Lonchura striata: one gene and its partner. The protein of the gene in region 1 interacts with the protein of each later gene in a pairwise test. Links are inferred from orthologs where the notes say so. Each region holds a gene or a part of one and is shown on either strand. Other genes may lie near its edges.

Region 1 (11,388 bases):
CCTTCATTTAAGTATTTTTCTGCAGCTGGCAGATTGCCTTTTTTCTGAGTCTAATTATAAACTACAAACAGGGCATGGCTATCTTTGTCTAAGAAAGAATAAAAGAGCATAATGAATCTTTGCTTCCTTTTGCTTCAAACAAAACATGTCCAACACCAGACTTCCAATGAATGAAGGTGTGGTGACTGATTTTTCATATTTGGAGGATTTTTCCAAATTTCTTGTATCTTACAGAATTTACAATAGTGAGCTGACGCTCTAGTTGATCTTCATCCAAAAGCTCCCTGCCACTGCAGACCACTAACTATGGGAAACAGTAAGCAGGACTGCTATTCCTCATTCTCATTTCTTGCACTTTGAATCTGGTTCTCCATGTCTCAGTGTAGCCCTAGGCCCCATCTTCAAAACTGGACAGTATTCCTAGAAAAAGGACCAAATTCCAGACCTGATTTCAAATGAGACTTAGTTACAACAAACGAAGATACCCAGCAAGATAGCTAAGCTTGCTAAAAGACTAAGGATGCTACTTGTCTTTGGAAAACCAGCTTTATGTTTTGTACTGTGGATTTTAACTATTGTGATGCAGACGCATTTAAAACCTACCCGGCCAATTTCCGTATGCACTGTTCTCTGCGCCATTACTTTAGGAACAAATAGTGCCTGGCATTCACCGCTCTCGGGGGCCGTGAGTGCAGAGGCTCGGCGTGCTACCGACGGCTGAGTCACCGCGAGCCGCCAGCACGACACCCAAGTGGCCGGGGGAGCGGAAGCGACCGCCGCCTTCCGCCCTCGCTCCCGGGTCACGGCAGAGCTCCTCTGGAGTCCCGTCCCGCTCTGCCGGGGCTGCCCAGACGGGGCCCGCAGCGCCCCAGCGCTCCCGGGCCCCGACGCACGGCTGCCCGCTCTCCCCGCGGTACTCCGCGGAGAAATCGAACGCGGGTGATGAAGACGGCGGCGGCGGCCAGGCCCGGCCCCGCTCGCCCACTTTAGCTGCACCACGCCGACGAACAAGACTGATGCTACCCTGCTTACATCAGGAGAGCGCCGCCGGCGGGACCAGCCTGCCTCCTGCACCGCCCCGTCCCGGTACCGCCCCCGGCACCGCCCCGGCACCGCCCTGCACGGCACCGCCCCCGTTCCGCCCTGCATGGCACCGCCCCGCCCCCGGCACCGCCCCCGGCACCGCCCCCGGCACCGCCCCGGCACCGCCCCCGGCACCGCCCCGCCCCGGCACCGCCCCGGCACCGCCCCGCCCCCGGTACCGCCCCCGGCACCGCCCCGGCACCGCCCCGGTACCGCCCCCGGCACCGCCCCGGCACCGCCCCGGCACCGCCCCCGGCACCGCCCCCGGCACCGCCCCGGCACCGCCCCCGGCACCGCCCTGCACGGCACCGCCCCCGTTCCGCCCTGCATGGCACGGCCCCGCCCCCGGCCCCGCCCCCGGCACCGCCCCGGCACCGCCCCCGGCACCGCCCCCGGCACCGCCCCCGGCACCGCCCCGGCACCGCCCCCGGCACCGCCCCGCCCCGGTACCGCCCCCGGCACCGCACCGCCCCCGGCACCGCCCCGCCCCCGGCACCGCACCGCCCCCGGCACCGCCCCCGGCACCGCCCCCGGCACCGCCCCCGGCACCGCCCCGCCCCGGTACCGCCCCCGGCACCGCCCCGCCCCGGCACCGCCCCGGCACTGCACCGCCCCCGGCACCGCCCCGCCCCCGGCACCGCCCCCGGCACCGCCCCCGGCACCGCCCCGCCCCCGGCACCGCCCCCGGCACCGCCCCCGGCACCGCCCCCGGCACCGCCCCGCCCCGGCACCGCCCTGCACGGCACCGCCCCCGGCACCGCCCCGGCACCGCCCTGCACGGCACCGCCCCCGGCACCGCCCCGGCACCGCCCCCGGCACCGCCCCCGGCACTGCACCGCCCCCGGCACCGCCCCCGGCACCGCACCGCCCCCGGCACCGCCCCGCCCCGGCACCGCCCTGCACGGCACCGCCCCCGGCACCGCCCCGGCACCGCCCCCGGCACCGCCCCCGGCACCGCCCCGGCACCGCCCCCGGCACCGCCCCCGGCACTGCACCGCCCCCGGCACCGCCCCGGCACCGCCCCCGGCACCGCCCCGCCCCCGGCACCGCCCCGCCCCGGCACCGCCCTGCACGGCACCGCCCCCGGCACCGCACCGCCCCCGGCACCGCCCCGGCCCGGCACCGCCCCCGTTCCGCCCTGCACGGCACCGCCCCGCCCCCGTCACTGCCCCGGCACCGCCCCGGCACCGCCCCGGTACCGCCCCGCCCTGCGCCGGGCACTGCCCCCGGCACCGCCCCTGGCGCGCTCTTGCCCCCTCCGGCAGGACTCTTACCGGTAACGCAGATCATGCGCGTCCTTCATTTGCCGAAGGCTGACTACAACAAAGTGTTGCCTGCATGAACGCCACAACGAGAAGGCTCAGATACTCGGTCATGCCAGGCGGGGCTGTGATTGCCAGAAAAAATTAACTTCTCAAGTGTTCGCTTTATTTACGTGCGTATCACTTTCTCTGAACGCTAGCAACCTATTCAATCGCACAAAATGCACCACGAAATACTGCAACTGAGTTACTTCATTACAAGCCGGGATTGTGCAGTTTGTCTGCACCTTTTTCTGGAGAAATGTTGAAATCAGTGCTTGACTTTACTGAACAGAAGAAGCTGTGAAAGACGTGCACAATTATGGTGGAAAGTGTGGCATTATCATTTCTTTGTACTGTTCAGTAAGGCTGCGGGCAACCTACACAGTTTAGTCTGCAAAAAATTTTCAGTAATGTTCGATTTTTTAGACTTGTACTTTGCCTGACCATTTCAGCTATATTATTTTGACTTATTTTAGTTATGTGGGAAAATGAAACAAAGAGGTATGGATTCTCGCCAGTTTGTATTTAGTATTTGATTGATTAAAAATCACCTTGGCTTCAAAGAAGGACTGCCATAAAAGTACAAATTAGTACCTTTCAAAGTCTGATAAACATGTCTTTTAATTCCAAAGCTCTGAGTCACTTGACACAATGACCATATCTGATAATTTCATTGGCCCTTATAGCCTAGCCTTGATCAGAGCTTTGTTCCAAATTGCACAGGAGATAGTATCTTGCTACACTTTCTCAAAGATAAAAATGGAAGGAATAGGAGTACTACTCTGATTACCCATGGGATTAAAGAGAAGCAAAAATGTGTTTTGGCCAAACTGAAAAGCTTAGCCCTCTGTTTCTCTATCTTACAATACATTCTGGAAGTGTCCGTATAAACAACCATAAGACTCCATCTGTACATAAAAGCATTATCAGCGCTGGGTTCTTCTGCTCCATGTAGGGATGGCTGTGCTTACCACAGGAGAGATCAAGACTTGAACGAAGTCCCTTTAGGTAGACACCTGATTTTTCTCTGTTTCTTAGAAATGTCCCAGCCAAAATGATAGTATATTTCACCACTGTTAAAGGCATTATCCTCACTTGGGTACTGTCAAAGGTCTCTGATTGCCTGAAGTACTTTTATTCACTTGGAAATTTTTAGCTGGGAAGTACAGGAAGTAATCATTCCAGGGTTAAGGACTGAGGAATTGAAATAGTGTAGATTGTTCTTCTCACAATATTGTGAAAATCCTTTTATGCTATTTTGATCCTATTTTCTAAATCTCCTTTTATAAAAGTGATTTACCTGTGATTCGTCCTTCAGTAAAGTAATCCTTTACTCTGCTTTTGCCACTCTCCTTCTGTGTTGTTTGTCAGGACCTCTAATATCTGCATTCAGCACAGTCAGCTTTTGATTTTCATGGGGATGCCAGCTACTGCTGCAGTGCATGAAAGCAGAAGCTTATGCCGTCATTTCTGTATGGGTCTATTATATGGTTTTGGAGTGTGAATTTACACTCAGTAAACTGGAAATACCTAATTTCACTGTCTCATGCAGTGCACACAGACTTAGGACTCAAGCCTTTTTTACTGCAATTCTACCATGACCACAGACATCTCTGATTCACATTAGAGAGCAACAGAAATATCATCATTCTATTAACTGATGGTACAGTAGAAGAATGCAAATGGTCACATCACCAGAATTAGTTTTTAATTGTAAAGTCTTCCCCAGAGCTTCTAGTCTCTGTGTTTGGATATTCTTTTCAAGCTTTCACTCCAGTTTGCATGTCTCCTGTTTCATTTCTCCTTGGCAGAAAGCCAGCTGGAAGAGCATCTCTGCACTGCAGTGAAAAGCTGCGGCTCTGGAAAGCTACCATGTCAAAAACAAGCAGCAAGTACTAAGTCTGAATCACCAGAAAACAGAAGGTATTTCTATCAGCTGGTATGAAAATATCTGAATATTTTCCACCTTCATGTGTTGTTGTCATCTTTTCCTTCCACGACCTACAATCCTACTTTCATGATAGAATTTAATGTGCATTAGCATTAATTTTCAGGTTTACTATTTTATTCACTTATTTGCCTGTTCAGTGCAGTCCTCTAAAATTAAATTATTGCTTCCATGCAGGTTACAACACACAGAAATGAATTAAATCCTTTTGATATACTAATTCTCCCTTTTTACAAGGTTTAGTTCATAAAGTTCACAGCCTGTGGTGTGATCATAGTTTAATGTGAAAAAGACCTATTGCATTATCTCTTAATTTATCTGCGGAGAACTAGACCACCTTTTGATTTAAGATTTTAATTTGAGAAAACTCCAAAAGCTAGTAACATCAGCTGTAGCCTGCAGAGATAATAATTTTATATTTTTGTCCCTTTTTCTGGTTGTTTTTTTTTTTTTCCCCTGACTATCTTTTGTCAGAGTCCTATGACACTATAGATTCATATATGCTTGCCAAAATACCAACTTTCTGAACCTTATGAGGCTTCAAATGTAGTCTTGGTGGGTACAAAAGAATGAAAGAGGGCAGGATGCTGACTTATCTGTCCATCAGGTTTCTAAACTATAGCTCACCTGTGGAAATCCTGTGCACTGCAGGGCAAAACCTGACACTGTTTTAGGAAACGCTGCCTATTATTGCTGACTGGTGTAATTTAATAATAACTGGGTTGCTTTTCTACCCAACTGCATCGGCACAGGCTGGTCCTTCCTTATCTGTCAGAAAAGACACAGATTTTTCTGCCTGAAACTACTTTTTGGTGTCTCTCCCTTGTTCAGCCTGTAGAAGTCTCATACTTTGGGGTTGCTCAGCTTTTGCACATAGCATCATAGGATCGCCAAGGTTGGAAGAGACCTTCAAGGTCACCCAGTCCAACCATCCACCCAGCACTACCACTGTAACCCCTAAACCACATCATCCAGATACAGATCCAGACACCTCTTGAACACTGCTGGGGAGGTTACTCCACCTCTTCCCTGGGCAACAATTCCCAGGCTCCAATGCCTGGCAGTGGAAATAATTTTTCTAATATCTAATCCAGAGATCTCTTATGTCTCAGCTTAAGGCCATCTGCATTGAACTTCTTTTCAGCAGTAGCTGGCCAGAACTGTGAGCAAATTGTGCCCAAAGATATGGCCTCTCTCATCACCGCAGACAGTAAGAACTGCTGCATACACCATAGCCAGCCAGTACAGCCATGGACAGCTCGCATCAGCTTTGCACCGGCAGCTCAGATTGTTCTTGTAGCCCATGGGTCTGGAATCCAGGAAATCCCATTATTTATCCCAGGAGAGCATTACACTTACTTTTAATTGAACAGAAGGAAGAACCACCGGAAAGGGACCTGCTCATGGGCAAGCAATAGTGGAGAAATAAAGAAGGTGAATGACAATACCAAGCCTTGGAGTCTTTATGTCTTCTATGGCTTTATTGTGGGTATTGGAACAACTCAACACCAAGCATTTAAAAATCTCCGTGGATTTCTGTATTTAAGAAATTAAATTCTAAACTAAAGTGTAAACCAACACGCCTTCCCCCCTGATTTATTCTTTCAAAGGTCTGAGGCCCGCTTATGGTTTTGAGCATCCGAGCTGGTCGCTGTACCGCTCTGTCGATCTTGACGGAAGGAACTAAGACGTCGCACCCTAGAGCCGGCGGGGGCTCACCGGCAGTCTCCGTGCCGGCACGACCTGCCTTGGGCGGGCAGCCCGGGAGCGGCAGCGGCCGGACGGAGGTAGCGGCCGGTCAGCACGGAGGTAGCGGCCGGTCAGCACGGAGGTAGCGGCCGGTCCGCGCGGGGGTAACGGCCGGTCAGCACGGAGGCAGTGGCCGGCTCCCGCCGCCGGGGGGCGCGGCTGCGGCGGGGCCGCGCGGGGCGGAGCGGGGGAGCCCGGGGGGCTGGGCTCTGGGCGGGGCCGCGGGCGGGGCGGGAGGGGGCGCGAGCCGGGCGGGGCCCCGGATGGGCAGGCCAGGCCCCCTCCAGCAGCAGCGCAGGACCACGTGCCGGCTCGGCCAATCAGAGGGGGAGTCAGGGCGCTTTAAGAGCCGCGCGCCAGTGATCGCGCGCTGCAGCAGCGGCCGCGGCGTTGCTATGGAGACGGCGGCGGGGCCAGTCGCCATGGACGCGGCGGCGCCGCCGGGCGGTGGGCGGCACGCGCTGCTGGCCGTGATCGGGGAGATCGGGACGGAGCCGGAGCGGGGCGCGCTGCGCGGCGCCCTGGAGCGCGGTGAGCAGCGGGGCCGCGGCGGAGGGGCCGGGCTGAGGCGGACGCGATCCCTGCCCCTGAGAGCCGCAGGAACTGCGCGCCTGCCGTGTCGTTCCTGCCGCCGCCTGGGATGAGGCGGAGCTGCCGGTGCCCTCCCCGCCCTGCGGCACCGCCGTCTCGCCGCAGGGCTTTATCTGCCATCTCCCGGAGAGCGGCAGAGGCCTGCGGGCGGTGGCTGCGGGATGGGTCGGGGCGCTGTCGGGACCGCGGGGCGGAGGCCGAGGCTGAAGCCGTGGGGCCCAGTAGGGGCCAGGGCGGAGGGTGAGGCTGGGCGGGGCTCGGATCCCCGGCGCAGTGCGGGGCTGAGCTCTGCGGCATCTCCCCTGATCATTGCTTTATATCCATTAGTGAGATATAGCTAAAGCAGTTTTCGAACATCTTAAAGCTTAAAGACATTTCGTGGTTCTCCTTCCCCTCAGTCTTTATTTTAGTAGAGGTTTGGTAGGGTGCATCTTATTTCAAACTTACTCCAAAATTCTGTCATGATGGAGGAATTGTCTTGCTAGACTGTTCACTGTGGTCCCAGGGACGGCTGTGCACAAGGGTCTGCTGTAGTTTGGCCTCTCCCTGTCTATAGCTCCATGGACCAGAGTGAGGGAGGAGTAGTCACACAGTGACCTGCTTCAGGAATGACACAATGCAGGATAGATCTGCCATGGCATTTTTCTTCTCTGTTATCCATATTTTAATAACATCCAGAGGTCTTGGCAATGAATTAGGCTTTGTATATTAGACACAGTGTTGTTTAGAAGTAAGGCGGAAGGAGGTGCTGAGATGATAGCTCTTCCCTTGTGGCAGTTTCTGATAGTTTCTGACCAAAAGACAAAGGAGAGCTGATCAGCTACATCAGGACCTTAAGGGAACCCTTGTTCTAATAAGCAGTTTAGCACACCTTAGTGAAATAAAGTAACAACCTTCTGACTCACCTTCACTCTTCCCCTCAGCTCCCCACTTCCAAGGCATGTTGGGTTGAAATAACAGTCATAAGTATTGGCCAAACTGTGTTATTCAGAGATAATTCTGCGACTGTTTTCTTCCCAAGCATCAGCATTACCGAAGATTTAAGAAAAGGGTGGGTGTAAAAATGTCAAATATTGTCCAACTTCTTCACTATAGCTTTTCCAGCTACCTCTGTTAGCAGGCCACTTTGTTAATGAGGTGTGTTTCATTCCCTTTTTCAAGGGATGGCTTTAGTTCAGGAGTAGTAGATCTGATTGTGACCATCTGGCCTCTGAAAGGCTTTCTTTGAAGGGGCCACTCTTGCTTCCTGCACAGCAGGATGATCATCTTCACTTGGCACTTCACTGAACTGGTGTGCCAACCTACATCCTTATCCATTGTCTGAATCTTTGAAATGGTGATAGATCACACTGTGAACTAAAGGATTTTGCTCTGATTCTGTGGTCACATGCCAGTAACCTGAGAATTCCCACTGCAGAGGAAAAACATGCTGTTTTCAACATAAATTGTAACTGCCACAGTAGAAATAAGTTCTATAGTTGGCCTTCTGTGACTAGAAACCTGCTGAAATTCTGCCAAATGTAAACACTTTTATTTGCATGAGAGGGAGCCATTTCAGCAGTATTAGTAAGTTACTGGCAGTAGAAGTGAATCACATAGAGCTGGAAATCTGGATTTCAGTTTTATCTCTTACATGGAATAGGACCTCCAGCAAGTTAGTTTTCTACACTATGAAATGGGAGGATGACCTCTTCTTAAAATGGACCAATATTTGCAAATTGAAAGGTATGAAAAATGAGAATAGTTAAAATGACAGCAATCTTGAGATCTGTCAATAGTCTGCATATTATGGTGTTGTAGATAGCTGCACTCTTGATTCAGGGAGTTCAAGAAATTTAGAAATGATTCTTACTTAAATGTTAGCTGCTGCAGAGGGCTCATGTGAAGGTAGAACAAGTTGCTGAGCAGTGACTATACAAAGGATGAAAAAGCTAGGGTTTGTTTTGTGTCCTGTTGGCTGTGGCACCCTGTCTGCATAAAAAAAAAAAATCAAAACAAAAACCCAAAAGAACCCCCCCCCAAAAAAAGAACCAAACAAAAAACAAAGCAGATAACAAAAGCAACAACAACGACACAAAAAAAACCAACCAAAGACTTTTTTTTTTTTTCAGTCGATAAATCTCCTGCCCTGACTGCTATAAATGTATATTTTTCCAGACTTCTTTCTATACCATAGTCCAGGAGAATGCAATAGTGGCTACAATGCATTATAGGAACCTGCTCATTTCCAGGTGTAGAGCTTTGTAGGCTATGACATTGTGAATCTATGGGATATCTGAACAACACTTTTTCGAACATGCTGTCTGAAAAATGCTAGTTTTATTTTTCTGTTACTGTGTTACTTTTGTCTAATTTTGAAACAATATCCGTAAGACTTGGTCTAGTGTTGGGGAGAAAGGCTAAATCTTTTAAGCTAATTACCTCAGCAGGAAATAAAGCATTCACAAGGGCATAAAGAATGAGATGGAAAACTGATGAGTCACATGACCCCTTATTTAGGCTTTGCATTTGCAAAGAGCTTGAATATTTACCGTTATTGTGGTATAGTCTGCACTCTCATAGTAGAGGATTCTAATCAGCAAGGCTTATGTGCCATGAAGTGATAAATTGGAATAGTGGCAAATTTGTAGAGATTGAGTAAATTCAGACTACCTGTAGGGAAGAAAATTATGGATAAATTGTTGCAAGTGAGATAATTCCACTCTTCCCTTTCTTGCTCTGAAAGAGCACCTATTCTTTCTGCAACCTAGAGGATGTAGCAGTACCTCAAATAGCACTTATTGCTGCAGTAGGACACGATGACCATGACACAGCAGCTAGTCAGCAAGATTTGCCCTGCAGAGTGCCACCTTGTTCCTGTCCAGGTCAGAATGCTCATAACTACTGCATTGATATTCTCTTACACTGGACATTTTGTTAAACAATTATGCTCTCTTGGAGTGTAGGATAGGAAAACACTTTGTCCATCTCCTTGTTCCATGTGTTTTGTTTGTTTGTATCCCATGTCCAAATTGAAAGGTGCTGTGCTGGTAAGTTGTTTGGTATTCTGTGTTTTTTTCTTTTCTTTTTTTCCCCCTGAAGATCAGATGATTTAGTGAGGAGTTTTTGTGCAGTCTGAAGTGAATACTGTTAATAAATAAGCATAAATAAGCTTTGCTACTCCACTGTGTCAGCTGTCACCAGAAAAAGAAACCAAGCACAAAGGTTTTTTTAGCTGCTGTAGATTCTACAGCCTTGAGACTACTGACCTGTGTGATTCAATGATTACTGTGTCTTGGTATGTGTAGAAAGCTGGAGCCCTTGAGGATCCTCTCCCACCAGTGGCCAGCAAAAGCTTTGCACAACATGGAGAGCTATAACTGCAGTAAATGGGAATGATATCTCCATGGAAAATTAACATCATTACCTTGAAAGAAAGTAGATAATAGAGGCAATAAAACTTTTATGTACTTTATGCAACTTTTATGTATTTTATGCAAGAGAAATGGTGAAAGAACTCTCAGGGAGGACTCCATCAATAAATATTGGCGCTGAAATTCTTGTTTCGGTTAACCTTAGAAGTCTGTGGCATTGGCCTTCAACATCTGAACATCAGCAGGCATCAGCACCAGATGCTGGAGTAAGGATTTGTAGTGATATCCTGCTTTTGTTCATTGTGGCACAGTGTAGAGTCACACCATCTAGGAAAGGCTGCTCCCTACTGGGATGTGAAAATTGGTGGTCTGTAGTGTTTGGTGTCCTCCAGAATGTACATCTGTTCACATTGAGGTCTGAAGGTGACTTTCCCTGTATGGCTTGGTGCCACTTGCTCTGGGAGCAGAAGCACCTTCCTGCTGTGATATGAAGGTAACTAGCTGACAAAGATTATAAAGATTAAAGAACAGACTCAAATGGTCTCAGTAGGATCAGTGTCTTTGAAGGAGTGATTAGGCAGAGTGAGTTGGAGGGGTGGAGGGCTTTTGTGGCTTGGAGCATGCACAGGCTGTAAGGGCAAAGAAACTGATGTCTCTGAGCTTTCCAGTAGCATAACCACACAGTAGCCCATCTCTACTGGTGACGAGTGCTGGAGAGTGCAGATGTAAACCTAACATAATGTACTTGTTTGTTAAGGGGTAGTGTAATTCATTTGGCCTCATCTCTTGTTGATTTCCCTTGCATGAAGTCCAAGTTGAATGGAGACTTGCTTACAGCATGTCCTTCATGGAACACTTCATTTCTTCAGGAAGAAATGTCTTATACAAGGTAAGTATCTTATGGTCCTCTGCTTCTGAAGGCCTTCTCCATCCTAAGTATGCTCATCTAGTGTAGCATCCCTGGTCTTTGGGTGTCCTACTCACCTTTCTTTCTCTTCTTCTGTTTCTGGAGTAGATGTAATGACATAATGACAAGGACAGCTTACTTTTTTCCTTTTTTGTTTGTTTGTTTGTTTGTTTTTGTTTTGTTTTGCTTTGTTTTATTTTGTTTTTTTACAGGAATTCGTTCCTGGGACATTAATACTCTATACTGTGATCTGAATCATCAACTGCGGCTTTTTGTAAATCGACATCTGGCTCAATTTTCTTCTGAAGTCAAAGGTCAGCTTTTTGGTTTATATGCATTAACTTTTAACTTTTGTTTTGGGTCTGGAAAGAAAAACCAAACCAACAACAAAGAATAAAACTGATTGTGATTCAATTGCTGACTTGTTCGCCCAGGATTCTGCAGAGCTGAATG
Region 2 (10,208 bases), on another chromosome or scaffold:
GTGAGTGAGATGGAACGTAAAACACTGTATTGAATAAATTTCCAAATTGGTTTTATTGACATTTTTCCTGCCATGATCTGTTAGTGGAATTCTACATGGCAATAGCTCTTCTATGTGCACTCATGCTGCTTTTGCTGACAGAGCATTGATCATGTGGGAATTAAGAAAGTGTTTTCAAGTCCTCATAGAGTCATGGTTAATTTATATGAAATATAAGTTTGTTAGACTTACAGGATAGTAATTGCCACCATCAACCACCTTCCCTCAGACCAGTTTCTTCTAATATTCTTGCTGCCTCAGGTTCCTCAGGTCACAGGTTCCCCTACAGAGAGAACTGACTACCACGCTTCAAAGACCACCATGAAGACCACAGTAATTAAAACAATAAGTTAATGTATCTTAATATAGCAAATAAATCTACATGGAGGACCATATGACATCATTGCTTTTTTAAAGAAATCTACTTTACTGCCAATAAAGTGGAAATTACACAAATTGTTAACAAATCACAACATGCTTACTTCAGAAGTTTCCTTGTTCCTATTGCAAAAGACTCATCCTGTGTGAGCACTTCAGAACCGAGTGTGCCAAACTCCCTGGTGGAATGTGGGCTGACAGTGCTGGAGTGTGAAACAGGAGTAGACCTGCAAGAGAGACCCTCCAAACATCACTTTTCAGATCTGCTGAGGCATCACAGATGGATGAATTGCAGAACCAAAGAATGGATGAGGTGAGGAGGGGTTATCTACTCCACCCTGCCCTGCTCAGAGCAGGATAAACTACAGCAGGTTGCTCAGGATTGTGTCCAGTTGGGTTTTGAATATGCCCAAGGATGGAGACTCCACAGTTTCTGTGGGCAGCCTTTTCCAGTGTCGGACCATCCTGAAAATATGGAATGAAGTACATTCACTGGAGATCCTAAAAATAAAGAACTTCCCACTGTTAAGGATACTTTCTTTAACTCCAGATAGAGAGACTGAATTCCCTGCTATCTTGGCATTGGACAAGCAACCTTTACTCTGTCTCAGTTTTCCTGGTAGACAAAGACAGCAAGGTGTCTGCAGTCAGTAAAAACTGAGAACAAAGGGAACCAGGTGACAAGTTTGGTCTCTCTGCAGAAAGAACTGTTTCCAAAGACATCACTGGTGATGTAGACATGTAACATCATGAGTATCCATAAGAGTTATATGGTCAGCTCATTTATTTCCTTAAGCTACAGAAGGGTTCTTCAACTGAGATTAGGTGTTTTAGGTCTAAAAATTCTTGCCTAAGGATGAGGCACTTGTTTTTATTTAATTTGAACTCACCTGGAGACAAAGGGCCACTTTAATATACTGTAGTGGTATAATTTTACTCTGGCAACCCGTATTTCCTGAGTCCTATTAAAGTATGAATTTTATAGTCTTGCTGTAAGAACTGGAAAAAATTAAACAGCTTCTGACCTCTCTTATTCCCTGGAAGAGCAATGCCAGTGGATCCCATACAGCTATTTAGTCATGAAAGCATATTTTTTGGGCTGGTATGCTTTCATGTGCACTGCACTTAGCATAAACATCTGCATGAAAACACACAGGTCATTTCACCTTCTCCTGCTGTGCCTTGGCATTCCAGTTTCTAGGCAGATCAGTCTGGATTGTCTGCTGAGGGTGCTGATCCCGGCTCTGAGAGTTGAACTCTGCATTCCTCCAGGAACGTTGGAAAGCAATGGACCTGTGGTGACAAACAGCAAGGTCTGGTTCCTAAATGTGCCAGAAGCTTTTCTCTTAGGGGGACAGGTACCATTTCTGTCCATTCTCTAACATCTACCCAGAGCTTTTCCACACTAGCCTGTGAACTGCTCATATTTCACTGCCTCTTGCCTTCCTCGCTTTGCTGAGGAGCTTTGCCTGCATGAGGACTGCAGGATGCCTGATGCTGGCATTACAAGCCAGCACGCAGGACTTTGTGTGCCATGAGAGGACATGTGGCTCCCTCAGCATGTTATGCCACAGCAGGCTATGTACTTACTTGCCTACTTATTGACAGAAAGGAGAAAGATTGCCTTCCCCACTGAGCTTTCATACTTTTGGTACAGATTTACACCTGAACACAATGTATCTGAGTTACAGACATGCCCTTTAGAAAATCTGCTTAGAAGAAGAGCAGGGGGGGAATATAAGCTGGAAAAAAAATCTCCAGTAATTGACAGGAATTGTCTTCTCAACTAAAAAATGCCACTTGGATTAAATAAATGAATAAATAAATAAATAAATAAACAACAAAATCTGAGTTTTAATCTCAAAACCATCCCCACAAGCAATAAAAACAAACAAGTGGTGTCTTCCTTCTTTGTCCTACTTCATGCTTTCTTCCTCAATCATACAGAAGTATATGGTGCAGCAGAACTAACAGTATGCTTAGAGTGCACATTTTGCACTAGAACAGCTAACTAGAGGTGAAGATTCAGCTTGCATAAAGAACTACAGTTTATATCATGCAGATTCATGCAGAAAATATAAAAGCTACAATGTCAGTTAAAATTCAGCCCTAAAATACATAAGCTGGATATATTCACTAATTACAGATGTGTAATAACCACAATGACTTAGATGTTCCCCCTAGAGGCTGTTGCTGGAGTGTACCCCAGGACAGTGAAAGGAGTGTGATCTCAGCTTGAGTTGGTCACAGGGCTGAGTCTCATGATATAAAGTTTCTGGAAAAAAATACTTATAAAGCATTTGAAAGCCTTGGTCAAGGTGTTACATAGCCTTTGCTGAAGTCTGTCTTGCAAGGTGAGAGATGAAACATCAGGCACTTTGCTTTCAGTGCAACTGTGTGGAAAACTAGAGATGTGAGACTTGAAAATTAAGCATGAGCCATTAAGTCATGGCTCAGACCATAAGTGGGTGCTGCAAATATATATATACTGCTCAGTTACAAGAAAAAATCATGCTATGGACTTAACTTGAGCTAGCTGGACATTTCTGGAGTAATTCCTTTGCACAGTTTGGAAGCTGGAATCAGCAGACAATTTGGATGAGGTCACCCTGCTTGGCAACCTTTAAAGAGGTAAGCAGCACTCTGGGCAACAATAGAGCCGTGTGCTTTGAAATGAATAAACTGCTTATTTATCTGCCTTCGGTGGCACAGCACAGATGAGTCAATACACGTAACTGCTCATTTGCATTATTCCTTCTTCTATTTAATAAAACATTTTGCTCCTGAAAGGACAAAACCAAACACCCAGGCATGATTCAAAATACAAGCGGAATCAGAAGTATATTTAAGCAGCACCTCTCAGGCCAGGTGAAGCAGTCGCAGCTTCTCCTGCTGCCGCCGCAGAGGTGGGTTTTTCCAGCGGTGGGTTTTTCCAGCGGAGGGTTTTCCAGCGGAGGGTTTTCCAGCTGCGGAGCCGCACGGAGCAGGCGCAGGGCGGTGCAGGGCGCGGAGCTGCCGCGAGGGGGCGCTGGGGCCCCGCCGTCGGCGCGGCGCGGCCGGGCGGCGCGGGGGGAGCGGCGAGCCGGGGATTCCATGGAACGGGAATCCGCCGCAAATCCCCCCGCCCGCCTCTCCCAGCGGCCTTCCCCGCCTGGGACTGCGGAGAAAATAGCTGCAAGCTGCCCGAGCACCATCCCCCCGTGCCAGGAGGACATGGCAGCAGGGGGGTGATTTCCACGCAGTTTGAGAAGAATTGAAGCCTGTGAGCAGTGACAACGGATTTAAAGGGATGATGCAAGCCAGAAATTTGGCTCGCTGGAAGGCCATAGGTACTGAAGAACATCCATGTCTATGTCTACACTTTATTGCTGAATTCTTTAAAAAAATCAGTTTGAATTTATTATGTTCATATAAAATATGCTGTACAAACCTATGTATGATCAAGGCACAAACTCATCCGTCAGCATCCAGGAACATGCTCTTTTGACTGGGAGAAATGGGTATTACAAAAATCTCACAGAAAATGAATTTTATTTCAATGTCTAGGATTAAACGAACCTTTTGCCCTATTGACACACACCCCTCTGTAACAGTCTGCTGCAAGTAACTTGTCAGGCAATTTGATGTACTCAGTGATGCATTCGCTCTCCAAGTGGGTATTTTAAAATGCAACTTTTAATAACAACAGTATTGTACAAACCACTCATTTTTGTTCCATACCCTAATGCCAGTACTGGCTGGGAAAACGGGACACTTCGAATCAAACCCCGAGAGGCAGTAGCCACAAGACATCTGCGCCTGTGCTGGCAGGGAAGAAGTTTGGGACACCACCCGGCTGAGCAGCGGCAGCTGCAACAGGGACCGAGCGCGTCGCTGCCGGCGGTGTCCGTGTGTGCCCCGGCACTGCGGCCACCCCAGCGCGCCCGGCCCGGCCCGGCTCGGCCCAGCTCAGCCCAGCCCGGCCCGGCCCGGCTCAGCCCAGCCCGGCCCGGCTCGGCTCAGCCCAGCCCGGCCCAGCTCAGCCCAGCCAGCTCCTCCTGTGAAGGGACTCGCATCCTGCCCTCCCAGCAACCCCTCACTACAGGGCTTTGCGCCCCTTTATTCTCCACGTTCATTTTTTCCTTGCTGTGACTTCCGATATCCCTGTAAACTGAGACCCAAAGGCCAATTCAGTTCAAGCCTGCTGCTTCTCCCGCTTTGCAATTCCTCTGCTCCCTTTTGGCCAAAAGCTGGCGAGAGTCGAATATGATTAATTTCTTAAGGAAGGGTGTCGAGCGCTTTTCCAGGAGCGCCCAGCGGACGCTTTTATTTTATTCACCCGCCTGCAATGCTCTCTGTTCACTTTGCCCCTGGGACGCAGCGGCGCTCCCCGCTCCTCTCGGTGCCCGCCCAGCCTCTTCACTCAGGCCGTCCCGAGCGGCGAGCCTGCGGCGGGGACCGGCCCTGCCTGCCCCGGCGACAACCGGGATCCCCGGGCCGGGAGGGCTCACCCGGGACAGGCTCACCCGGGACAGGCTCGCACCGGGACAGGCTCACCCGGGACAGGCTCACCCCGGGACAAGCTCGCACCGGGACAGGCTCACCCCGGGACAGGCTCACACCGGGACAGGCTCACCCCGGGACAGGCTCACCCCGGGACAAGCTCGCACCGGGACAGGCTCACCCCGGGACAGGCTCACCCCGGGACAGGCTCGCTCCGGGACAGGCTCACCCGGGACAGGCTCGCACCGAGACAGGCTCACACAGGGACAGGCTCGCACCGGGACAGGTTCGCACCGGGGACAAGCTCACACCGGGCTCGCACCGGGACAGGCTCACACCGAGACAGGCTCGCACCGGGACAGGCTCACCCGGGACAGGCTCACACCGGGACAGGCTCACACCGGGACAGGCTCACACCGGGACAGGCTCGCACCGGGACGGGCTCACACCGGGACAGGCTCGCCCCGGGACAGGCTCACCCCGGGACAGGCTCGCACCGGGACAGGTTGACACCGGGACAGGCTCAAACCGGGACAGGCTCGCCCCGGGACAGGCTCACCCCGGGACAGGCTCGCACCGGGACAGGCTCACCCGGGACAGGCGCACCCGGGACAGGCTCACCCGGGACAGGCTCGCACCGGGACAGGCTCACACCGGGACAGGCTCGCACCGGGCTCGCACCGGGACAGGCTCGCACCGGGGACACGGAGCCCCGGCCGCCCCAGCGCGGCTCCGCCCGCCGCCACCCCGGGCGCGCTGCCCCGGCCCGGCCCGGCCGCTCCCGGCCCGGCCGCTCCCCCCCGCCTCGGCCCCGCCCCCCGCCCGCGGCCGCCCGCCAATCGCAGCGCTCTCCGCCGGGGATGACCTCACTCCTTGCCTTCCCATTGGCCAGCTATATTAAGAAAGCCGCGAGCGCCTTTAAATAGCGGCGCCGGGCCGCAGCTTGCGGCAGTGGCTGCGCGGAGCGGGTCCCGTTCGTGTCTGTGCAGTGAGGCGAGAACCGGCGGCACCGCTCCCACCGCAGAGCTCCGGGGCCGGCGGCGCTGCCCTGCGGCCGTAGCGCTCCCGCGAGGCAGGATACGGCGGCGCGGTGCCGGTGAGCGGAGAGAGCAGGGCGCGCCCGCCTGCCTGCGCGGGCCGGCTCGCCACGGTGCCCTGTGAGAAGCGAGAGGGAGCGGGAGGCGGCGGCCGCGGGGAGGAGGGCGCTGCCATCGTCCTGCTGCACGGCAAGGCCAGCTTGGCGAGCCTGGCCATGGCTGCCATCCGCAAGAAGCTGGTGGTGGTGGGGGACGGTGCCTGTGGCAAGACTTGCCTCCTCATCGTCTTCAGCAAGGACGAGTTCCCTGAGGTCTACGTGCCCACCGTCTTTGAAAACTACGTGGCGGACATAGAGGTGGACGGCAAGCAGGTGGAGCTGGCCCTGTGGGACACGGCTGGCCAGGAGGACTATGACCGCCTGCGTCCCCTTTCCTACCCGGACACCGATGTCATCCTCATGTGCTTCTCCGTGGACAGCCCGGACTCGCTGGAGAACATCCCGGAGAAGTGGGTGCCCGAAGTGAAGCACTTCTGCCCCAACGTCCCCATCATCCTGGTGGCCAACAAGAAGGACCTGCGGAACGACGAGCACGTGCGGAACGAGCTGGCCCGCATGAAGCAGGAGCCGGTGCGCACCGAGGACGGCCGGGCCATGGCCATCCGCATCCAGGCCTACGACTACCTGGAGTGCTCGGCCAAGACCAAGGAGGGTGTCCGGGAGGTCTTCGAGACTGCCACCCGGGCAGCCCTGCAGAAGCGCTACGGCACCCAGAACGGCTGCATCAACTGCTGCAAAGTCCTATAGGGCGTGTCTGGAGCGCGGCGCTGGGCACAGCGCCCGGGTCACCTGTTGGCAGGTGCAGAGGAGCTGGGTTATACGCACACGGCATCTGCCTGTCCCCTCCGCTAGGGACTGGCTGTGCATGGGGTGGGGGCTAAGGGAGGGAGCACGCTCCTTGAGCCTTGGCCAAAAAGGGTTGTGCTTGCTCAGCCGCGGGGACGGAGGGAGGGGGGGATTGCATGCCCTGAATCTTGGGAATAAAGTGGGGAGAAGCCTTCTCCTACCGCTGGCCCCTGCGAGTTAGTCGTGGACTCAACGACAAAAAGCTGCTGAGACTGGACTGAGCAAACCTTGCACCCGGTTCTGCCCCTTTGCCAACACCTGCTGCTTCCTGCTCCCGGGCAGCCTCCTCTCTTTTGCAAGAGGAGGGCGGTGGAGCTGAGATGCTCGAAGGGACTTCTGCCTCCTGCCTGCATGTGCCTCCACCCAGGCGAGCTGGGGAAAGGGGCTGCCTCTCCCAGGCTGCCTGCAGCATCCTTGCTTCTCCCTCACATGTTTCAGCCTGAGCCTGACCTGCTGTGGAAGTTAGCGCCCTGAAGACCGAGACTGGGAGGGGAGGGGAGGGTCATCCCAAGCAAAGCCTGTATATATGTTACCTTTTTTGTCTTGTGCAAACTGGGGTAGTACAGGGGGTGCTTATTTAAAGTGAGGTGGGGAGGGGGTGCCCAGGTGGGACTTGTGTTGTGCAAAGGAACTTGCCCTGAGTGACTGATGCCTGCTGATAACAGGAGCCATGAACTGACTCCAGCTGCAGAAGCCACCAGGCCAGAAAGTAAAGCTGAACTGTCCTGCTTGCTGGATATCCACCTCCTGACAGATGAGGCAGGATGAGCAAGGGGATGATATTGCCATATTATGATTTTGGTGCCTGCTCCTTACTTTTGATGTTGTCTCCTGCAAGTGTGTTGATTTGGGTTTATTTAAAAGTTTATTTTCAAAAGATGTTACTTTGCACAACTCGGTGGAGTTTTTAATGTTTAAATTAAACACTCAATGCGCTCATCTGCATACAACACTGTAGCATTGGAAACATTCTTACTCGGTAACCTCATCTGGGTCTTGTTTAAAACTGATTTCAACACAAGACAAAATAAAACCACTGTATTATTTTTGCCTTGGAAAAAAAAAAAAAAGGGTGAAAGCACTGTTACTTATGCAGTGAGTACATCAGACTTTAGTACTAAAGGGCAGTTTAAAGAATCAAGGTTTATTTAAAACTTATTTTCACAAGGTGGCCAGCCTGGGTGAAAATAATTTTCTGTTTCTCTGGTTCAGAGAACAAATGTATCCATTTATGTTTGTTTACTTTATTCCCTCTTCCCTCAACAGTGGTACTGAGACTGTTTTTAATAAACTGACATGGCAAAAACTGAGATGTATATGATGTTTACATAAAACTATAGTGTATGCAGTTTTTTATGTAAAGTATTAAAAGATTCTATGCTGACACTTGTGAGACCAGTGTTGTGATTCATGGAGACTGTCCTCTGGATATTATTGAACTAGACCAGAGTTTGCCCCTTGCCTACACATGCTTTTATTTGGCTTTTTTCCACTGGGTGAAACACCTATCTGGCAGCTTTTAGAGGATGGTGGTTTTAGTTCCCTTTGGGGGAGCTGCTTCCTTAGTTTTTTTTCAGTGCATGGTATATGGAAATGTATTGAAAAGTCAAGGTGGTGACTGATCCATCCTTGTTGCTGTTGACCACGGGCAGCCTCTGTGGCTCCTGCCTGGGCTCCGGTGAGCTGGTGTTGCAGCAGAACGGGCACAAAACTGAAAAGCAGCACCAGCAGTAAGGATTATTTGTCAAGGAAGTATTTAGATAAAAGCAGTTTTTTTAGCGGTCTCCCCTTTGCTTGGAGCGCATGGCCCTGCTTCCTGCAGCAGCGCATGGGAGCAAACACTGCTCTCTGTTGAACCAGCATCTCCAAAGCTGCCGGGATGGATTTCCCGATTGTGGCCTCATTAATTCCCATGGCAACCTAAGAAGCGGGGGGCCTCTCCGCCTCAGGGATTCCCTAGCAGGGCATTGTGCCTGTCCCCTCTTCTTTCCTGGGCAGGTGCACAAGGCCCTGTGCTGCTGCTGTGGCTTTGGCTCCTGCCAGGAAGACGTGGCCTTGTCCAAAATGTGATTGTTGCTAAACAATAAGACCTATACCCAAAGTGCTGTTGTCTCCTTTATTTTTTTTCCCCTGGAAAAGCTTTCTCAGATAGCTTCACAAGGACAGGCTTCTATTTTCATAAATCTTCTCCACTACTTTTGCAGAGATGTGAGAAGAGAGTTGAGCTTTTTCAGGTTTTGACCTATGAGTAACTGCTAGGGTACATATAGTTCAAAAATGTTAACAGCTGCTATCAAATGCAAAGGCAAGCAAAGCACATGGAGTGGCTTTTGCTCATTTGCTCACAGAGGGCTGAAAGTGATGGGGCTTTTCAGGCAGACTGACATAGAAATAACAGGTTCCTTGTTCAACACCTGGAAAGTCAATAAACCATAATATGAAAATACTACAGTACATGATCAGTCCATGCTGTGAGTTTATTACACTGTTTCCTATGATTCTTAATGAAAGACAGGCGCATTTTCATGTAGCCAGTTTGTCAGGATTTCTTGAAAGGTACCTAAGTCCTAGGTTTTGGGTATCCTCATTCTCCTGATATTCAAATTTCAATTCTCTAGATACTCGGTGTATGAGTTTCTTATCTTCAGTTTGAGAATGTTAAAATCAAACATCCTTTGAAAGAAATCTCAGTGTTGGATGCTTAAAGGGCATGGCCAAAGGGGCCCTCGTTCTTGCAGGGGGACTCAAACCCCCAGCTCTGTGCAGAGTAACACTCTTGCACATGATGCCAGCCATTGATGTTAAACCTGTATTAGAAACCTTCTCATTAAAATGATTGCAATAGCTGAAAGCCTTATCAATTCAGTTGGACTGCAGCAATAACTAATCTTCTCAAAACCTCAAAGGAGAAAGCATTCATATTTGTATTTTAAACACTAGGAAATGGGCTAGCATTGCATCCCTGTATAATTAACTATACCAATATTTTCCACTGAGGTGCTTACAAGGTAATTACATTCATTATTTCCAGTTGGATCTTTGCCCAAGTCAGGGATACAGCCTCTGGCCCAAGGGGGAAAAAGCTGCAAGAAAGCAAATTTTGGTTTTAACCGAGCATGACCTTTCTCTGCTACGTGTGAGGCTGAGTAAGCTGTCAGGGTGAGATCACTGTGGGAGTCCACCCATTGGGGTCAGATGGTGGGGTCAGGGCTCTAACGTAACTCCTTTACTTTGTGTCACATTGCTGGGCTTGCTTTGGTGGAGGGGAAACATAAGGTGTGGCACATCCCACCCTTCATGACTCAGACACCCACGGCCAGGCTGTTGCCCTGCAGCATGAGAGTGTCACACTGACCAGCTCCATCTG

The links.
Region 2: the proteins of MAP1A (region 1) and RHOB interact in a two-hybrid assay, tested with the Homo sapiens proteins (2 studies listed by BioGRID and IntAct). The link is inferred for Lonchura striata from reciprocal best matches to the Homo sapiens genes MAP1A and RHOB.

Annotation. Positions count from the first base shown.
Region 1 is NC_134613.1:24,564,484-24,575,871, reverse strand, and holds the start of MAP1A (microtubule-associated protein 1A), read left to right. Parts: upstream 1-6,470; 5' UTR 6,471-6,479; coding exon 6,480-6,615; intron 6,616-10,837; exon of another isoform or gene 10,838-10,847; coding exon of another isoform or gene 10,848-10,917; intron 10,918-11,147; coding exon 11,148-11,249; intron 11,250-11,388. UniProt on the Homo sapiens protein: Structural protein involved in the filamentous cross-bridging between microtubules and other skeletal elements.
Region 2 is NC_134605.1:104,395,502-104,405,709, forward strand, and holds RHOB (rho-related GTP-binding protein RhoB), read left to right. Parts: upstream 1-5,856; 5' UTR 5,857-6,151; coding exon 6,152-6,742; 3' UTR 6,743-8,225; downstream 8,226-10,208. UniProt on the Homo sapiens protein: Mediates apoptosis in neoplastically transformed cells after DNA damage. Not essential for development but affects cell adhesion and growth factor signaling in transformed cells. Plays a negative role in tumorigenesis as deletion causes tumor formation.